Linked DNA regions of Bombyx mori. The protein of the gene in region 2 interacts with the protein of the main gene of each other region in a pairwise test. Links are inferred from orthologs where the notes say so. Each region holds a gene or a part of one and is shown on either strand. Other genes may lie near its edges.

The links.
Region 1: the proteins of G-protein-signaling modulator 2 (region 2) and Go interact in a two-hybrid assay, tested with the Drosophila melanogaster proteins (3 studies listed by BioGRID, with this or other methods). The link is inferred for Bombyx mori from reciprocal best matches to the Drosophila melanogaster genes pins and Galphao.

What each region holds. Positions count from the first base shown.
Region 1 is NC_085125.1:9,507,694-9,511,528, forward strand, and holds part of Go (G protein alpha subunit Go), read right to left. Parts: intron 2,583-3,835; coding exon 2,422-2,582; intron 2,025-2,421; exon of another isoform or gene 1,716-2,024; coding exon of another isoform or gene 1,602-1,715; intron 1,076-1,601; coding exon of another isoform or gene 749-1,075; intron 615-748; coding exon of another isoform or gene 536-614; intron 1-535. Other genes in the region: probable cytochrome P450 49a1, read left to right, coding at 536-614, 749-1,075, 1,602-1,715. UniProt on the Drosophila melanogaster protein: Guanine nucleotide-binding proteins (G proteins) are involved as modulators or transducers in various transmembrane signaling systems.
Region 2 is NC_085107.1:20,246,907-20,250,741, reverse strand, and holds part of G-protein-signaling modulator 2, read right to left. Parts: intron 3,321-3,835; coding exon 3,129-3,320; intron 2,584-3,128; coding exon 2,330-2,583; intron 1-2,329.

The DNA.
Region 1 (3,835 bases), on a different chromosome or scaffold from region 2:
AAATCACTTATTTCAGGTACTGCGAATGGCCAAATGTAATGTGCCAGTGCCATTGACGTAATCACATGAATATTTTGTTACCTCACCATTACCTATATACAGTAAACGGAATAACTTGTTAATAAATATTTTATTTCGCATTATTAATCAATGTTATCTGTTATAATTATGTGCTGTCTGATGTTGTCCCACGAATTCGAATGAAAGAATATTTATTTTAATTATAATGCATTCGAAATGTATTAAATGAGTCGTCTATTATCAAAGGTGGCAATCTGTGCATTTGGACAAAAAAATGTTATTGATATGTCAATACAAATTGATTTGAATATAATCTTCTCCTTCAAAGAATACGGTTCAAAACCTGCAATAAATAAAGGTTAATACTTAACCTGTTATTTATCTAAGATGTCGTTCAGAAGAGTTTTGTGACTGCCAATGGAACACAAAGTCAATAATTCGTTTTTCTGATTTACCAATAATTGTCCAAAAGTCACATTGCCGGCTTTGATAATAGTCGACTTAAATGTTCTAGAATGAAACCGGTAATTTTGGGAAACGGACGATGCATTCAATCGGACACCACCATATCTGGCTACAAAGTTCCAAAAGGCGTAAGTTTTTCAACCTCAATATTAGCTAGTGAAGTAACTATAACTAAACCATACTTTAGTTAATATTGATTTGTGTTTTACTAGTGGTAGGGCCTCTTGTGAGTTGTTTTCACTAAACCTATACCTATTTCCAGACTCATATAGTGTTCCCGCACTATGTATTATCGAACGAAGAACGATATTTTCCGTCACCGCACGAATACGTGCCTGAACGTTGGTTACGAGAAAACGATATTGCCGGCAAAGATCAATATCCCATAAAAGCGATGAATCAATTCGATAAGAGGCATAGCTCGGACGAGATATCGAGAACATGCGATCGTACAGTAGTGTCGGACGTTTGTCGCAAGCAGAAGGAAATAGGGATACACCCGTTCGCGTCACTCCCCTTTGGATTTGGTCGACGGATGTGCGTCGGGAAGAGATTCGCCGAAGTCGAATTGCAACTTTTACTGGCCAGGGTAATCATTGATTTTTTATTATTATTTAGTAATACAAATTACGAGACATCTATATATTAATACGTGAAGCAAAAACTTTGTACCCCTTTTTACGAAAATTGCGCGGACGGAGGAGTATGAAATTTCCCACACTTATAGAGAATATAGAGGAGTGCAGAATGTAAATATTTTTTTAAATTATGCATAAAAAACATTTTAAATCAATAAAAAAAACATTACGCACACAACATCTATTTGACAAACACACACTTAAATACATGTATACTTTGTTTATTGTCAAACTTTTATTATTTAAAGTCTGGTCAAATTGAGAATAAATTAATATGTATTGTTTATCTTTAATATTATTTGTCTATAGTGTAGTCTTGGTGAAATCTGTGAATAAAGAAGTTTATGTCTTTGACAATAGAACTATAATAATGTTCAAATTTATAATTTAAATTAATTAAAGTCGAATTTCAACTACTGCGGGACCACTACTTATATCAAAATTACAAAAACATTCTAATGACTATTTCTATTTCAGATATTTCAAAAATATAACGTATTGTGGAGGCATCCTGAACTGACCTACAGCGTAACGCCCACATATATACCGAATGAATCTCTCAAATTTACATTGAACAAGAGAAATGAGTAGTATTCTTTTATTGATGTTTAACTTTTGGCCAGCTTAGTACATCTTTAGTTTCTAATCAAATTAAATGGGATAGTTGTTGCGCTGGGTTTCACTAGACAAAAATAATATAGCGAATAGAAGTAAAGTGATTAAATAAAATTGCCGAATTTCAACACGCATTACTGGAAAAATAGCAAACGAGTTAGAATTTTAAATTCGAACCACTGATACGAATGAGATTTGGGGTAGTTTTTAATGTACAACTCCTAATTGAACAATGTTTAAAAATATATAGTTGTAGGACCACGTGCCTGTTGTCATGACCACAAATTTACTGTACTTATAATTACGGTAACATTAAGGTATTAAATCAAATAACTTGCTTTTGGACCCAAATTTGAAAACGACCCACACTGCGATAAATATTAACTCAAATATGAACAGGTACCCTATTTCAAATAATCTGATCACACGCAATCTGATGCTAATACAACACTGGTGGTAGGACCTCTTGTGAGTTGCACGGGTAGGTAGATTAAGCAGTAATGCGTTTCGGTTTGAAGGATTGTGCAGCCGTTGTAACTATACTGAGACCTTAGAACTTATATCTCAAGGCGGGTGGGGCATTTACGTTGTAGATGTCTATGGGTAAGTAACCACTTAGCACCAGGTGGGCTGTGAGCTCGTCCACCCATCTAAGCTATAAAAAAAAACTTCAAGTACTCACTATTTAGCGGAGTCGTTGAGTTGGTACTCGTTGGAACGACCAAAGCACTCCTGAACGCCAGAGTCGGCCCAGAGCCTTTTCATCGCGGCGAGAAGCTCCTCACTGAACGGTTCCGTGTCCTCCATCCGTTGAATCACGTCGAACACCATCTTACCATCGCTCTGCAAATACCGCGTAGTGTTAAAAAGAAACCAATAGATTCTATACTAATCTATATCGACGCTTGAAAGGCAAACGTGACTAAGCGACAATAGCTACTTTGTACATAAATGATAGGCAATAACCATATTCGTGAATACCAAAATCTTTGTAACCCTTTTTACGAAAATTGCGCGGACGGAGGAATATAAAATTTCCCACACTTATCGAGAATATAGAGAAGGAGTGCAGCACAACGCAAATATTTAAAAAAAAAAAAAATCAATAAAGAAAACATTACACACTAATATATATTTGACACACATACGCATATATACGATTTTGTTTATTGGTAAAGTCTGTGGATAAGTTGAGAATAGGTTGAATATTGTTTGTCTTTATTAATATTTGTCTAAGTGTAGTCTTGGCGAAATCTGTGATTATAGAAGTATAAGAGTCTTTGACAATAGAATCATAATAGTGTACAATCTTATAATTTCAATTAATTATAGTCGAATTTCGACTACCGGAGGACCATTCGTAATATTAGAATAATGAATATTCGAATAAAGTTTTTTTTTTTAAATTGTAAATTACCCGTATGATCGATCATAAACCAAATGTCAAGGACGATTAAATTTATTTATAGAAAAACTTTCGTATTTTAATGTTATAAGGCAATTAACTTATAGATTTGTCCATGCAATAAAATTATCTATGTACCATGTATTAAATTCACAATGATTTTTTTTAGGTAATAAAATATACCATTTCTACACAGTTACTGTTACTACATTCGTATCCGATCGTACATTCGAATCTTCGAACAGAGCGAATATTCATTTTGAGTTTAGTGAACCGATATCTCAAAGGAGATGCGCTAATCGGATTAGCGAGTCGTTCAAACGTAGCTCGGAACTGTGTAAGCTTTCGTTACGCAATACAGAGATACTTGAATAACTGCATTCGTTCATACAATCACAATACAAGCAGTGCGATTATGGAATTCTCTCCCTCAACCTATTCGTGCTAGTTCCTCTCTAGAAGTTTTTACGAGTCAAATGAAGAAACATTTCCTGTCACTTTAATTGTATTTAAGTTATTGTTTTATGTATGTTTATTTATATGTATTTTTCATTTTATATTAGATTTTTTTTTTTTAAAGCTTAGTTTAAAAATCATGCTTTAATAGCTTTTATATTGTACACTATTCCCCTCTTATACATCGTATTTCACTCTGCTATTGGTTTGCTGGAAGAAAACTCATGAATGAGTT
Region 2 (3,835 bases):
TGACTACATCGAGGCAGATACCGGCGGGATTTAGGTAACTGCCATTCCAGTTTCCGTTTGGTATACGAGAGAACGTCACATTACCAGTAATTACCATTTTTTGTTTAATTTTCCGTATTTGTGTCTATTTAGTAACTTTAATTAAAACCCAAGTTATGTTTTATTTCTACAACGATCTGTGTCAGATTGTCCCATCGGAATATCACATCATTCAATGCAAGTCCGCTTCAATATTTATTTCCAGCTATAAAGTAGAGCGCTTTTTAAAAATTATTATCTCCGTCGCAAATTCTAGTTCAAAAATGAATTCCCTCCGCAGTTTTTCTAGGTAGAAACGAGGAGGGGATTAGCGTTAAGCGGTTCCCGCAAGAAAAAACGTAAATGTCGCCGCCGCCCGCAGCGAGGAGATGAGAGATGGACGTCGAAGTTTCGATTGCATTACCAGAACCCAATAGTCACAATTTCAATGTTTGAGTCGCACTAAGCGATGGATGCAACAGAAATAGACAGTTTTTCAAGTCGCACTCTTCCTAAGTTCATTTGTAAGTTTGTTCCTGTTCTATGAGTGACGTACCATTTGCCTGATGGTATTGAAATTTAGTATACGTGCTGTTAATACTCCACATAAGTTTCTCGCACCGTTCGTTATTCAATGTGACGTGTTTGGCACATTTTTTTCCCGAATAATTGTCTCCTATGTAAAACTCTGATATAGTCAGACACGATAGATCATATATACGTCTAAACATGTTTCGTGCATCTCGGAAACAACTTTAAATATGTAGATCAAGTTTTAAATATAATTACGAATTGATAGGGCCAGGTACACTATTTTATAAAGCGATAGTAATTTGCTGATATTTCGGCATATCAGTATTCAACCACAACGTAATCGAACCTTTGCTTTCTCACAAAATCGTTCCCCTTATTCCTAGATGTAGTAGGTACTTGTAGATCGCAATCCTGCTGTCAAAGTTTGGTGTGACAAATATAAAAGGAAAGTGTATATATAAAGCGGGGGCAAAAACTTTCTTCCGTCGAGTGTACTCAATACAACAAATCGCTTCCGAGCCAACAAAGTCCTTCACAAGCAGTGCAGTGTTTGACTTACTTAACTATTGTACATTCAAAACAAAATTGTTTTTTTAAGTTCGAAAACGGAAGTTGCATCCGACACGATCAAGAAAGTTTAAGTGAAAGGTTTTGCCGAACTATAAGTTATTTGCAACGTATCGTTTGTACGTTCGATCCGTGGTGCGAGATTTGTCTGTTGATATTCAGAGCCTCCAGGCAGAGCTAACAAATACACATGGAAATAAATCATCGAGTTAATTTTTAAGGTACAATCATCATCATCTTCCGCGTCCCATTGAAAGTAATAGGCCTTTTTGCATTACGTTGCATTCTTATCAGCCTATCGACAAGTTGTGCAGCGGCCAGTACTGAAGTCCCGTGAACATTTTAAGCTTTAAGTAGACGTTATTCTTTCAAAAGCACTAGAAAGTAGCATCTTGAAACTGCGACTTGTATTTTTTTTTATATCTACTGTTTATTCTTACATTTTCATGGAAAGGTTACATTTCATTCGTTGTATTAAATTACTTTTTTTAAATAGACTATAGTTAGAAGCTGATAGAGTTAAAGGTAGAAATTCCACGATAACTCATTTATCGTGTGAGCCGCTAACTACATATATATCCGACTCAGGCGACCGCGCAATACACACAGCCGGCGTCACCCGAAACGTATCTTGTCGGATCTCCCAGATTCATTCTCGGTGATTATAGGAGCCTCAAGCACCGGTCACCATTCTCGTCGAAGTCGTCGATGACAACAAAGAGTTCGACCAGTGAACTAACCCACAGACAGCCCATTGAGTTTCTTGTCGGATCTTCTCAGTGGGTCGCGTCTTCGATCCGGTGGTAGCACTTCTTTTGCCAAACCAAATTTTAGCAAATTCTCTTAGACTGAGCCTCAAACCAAGGTAGCTCCTCGAGGTTAGTACATATAATAAGTGCATGAATCAATCCTCAAACTTTGTACGCTTTTCGACGCGTTTTCGCGTATTTTCAAATGACCAAACCACTAAGATCTTTATTGTTACTTTAGACGAGACTATACGCATGTTAAATAGTTATAAGAACCTAGAGGTGCCACTGCATGTCCGAAGCGTCCGTGGGCTAGTGAGTGAGACAAACGGTTAGTCGGATAAGTTACTTTCCCGAATTATCCTGAAAGTTATTCAAGTGTGACAATCCAGAGGGAAGCCTGGATGGCATCACACAGAGTAACATACAGAGTAACATGAGATAGGTGTAACATTACTTACTCGTACTGCTTGCTGCCGCTGCTGGAAGAGCGGAACAGTTTGCTGGAGCTGGGCTTCGGCTTCTCAGTTGGTTTGGGAGTCTCTTGGATTTCTTTGGTCTCCACGAGGGTGGCTCGCTGCTCATCCATCCTCTCGGATTGGTATTTGGATAGCAGATCGAGGAAGGACTCCATGGGGCTGTCTTCGGATTCCGAACGCATCAGCACGGCTTTCTTCTGGGCGTCCTCGGGGTCCTTCTTACCGTCGGGTGTCAACTGTATTATACATTATTTAGTTGGAATCTAATAATTTATGATAATTCGTTTTGTGTATCTTAATATAATGAATATACTTTAATATATTGCTATGTATTAAACGGTAGGTGTTCATTGTATCAACCGGTCAACGCCACCCAACTAACTGCATTTGAACAATGACTATCCTAAGCCTTAAGTCAAAAAGCACACTTACCTCACGACAAACAGAGGCTTTTTTATTTTATTGCTTAGATGGGTAGACGAGCTCACAGCCCACCTGGTGTTAAGTGGTTACTGGAGCCCATAGACATCTACAGCGTAAATGCCGCCACCCACCTTGAGATACAAGTTCTAAGGTCTCAGTATAGTTACAACGGCTGCTCCACCCTTCAAATCGAAACGCATTACTGCTTCACGACAGAAATAGGCAGGGTGGTGGTACCTACCCGCGCGGACTCACAAGATATCCTACCACCAGTAAAACTGATACATTAAGGATACCGTGCAACAATTATATGACAAAATAGTGCAAAGTTTGAAGAAAAAAGTATTGAAGAAATTACTTGTATCAGGGACAGCTGTTCCATGCTCTGCCTCCTCACACGAAGGGCGTTGAAGGGCGTCTGGCTGGAGCCGGCTTGGTCTGGCGGGGCGGGCTGAGCTGCGGCGGTCTCGGCGAGCGGCGGGAGCCCGAGCACCTTGCGGAGGTCGTTGATGTTCATCTGTGCCGTGGCCATCCCCAGCACATCACAGATCTGTTATTAACACGAACGCGATTATCACTTTTATTTAAGTACAATCTTCAAAATGGGCCCGTCTTCCTCGGGTATTCCAGTGGTGCTAAAAATTTTTTTTTTTATATTTTTGCCTTGGTTAGCGTACGAGTGGTTCCTGGAGCCCATGGACATCTACAATTACACACATATACACATGGACATATAAAATTGTTTATTTATTTAATTATATCTCAAGTAAAGTTTCAATAACGTAATATGATTGATGTATGTGTATGCTTTGAAGAGTTCCAATACGAGCATAGAACGGTACAAGCGCGACCGCGGCCTGTATCGACTGACAAACGACTCCGATGATTGTCGCCGAATCCAAACGCACATCAAAGTATTAGTACTCCCGGAACGAATCACGATTTGTCGCCCACATTTCAATTGCTCGGAAAATTTTACAACCTTTCCTTTGAATGTAACGTCGTCAATAAGCTGTTCAGGAGAAGAGGGAGTGTCTTCAAAGCGTGCCGTGGTAATGAGGAGAC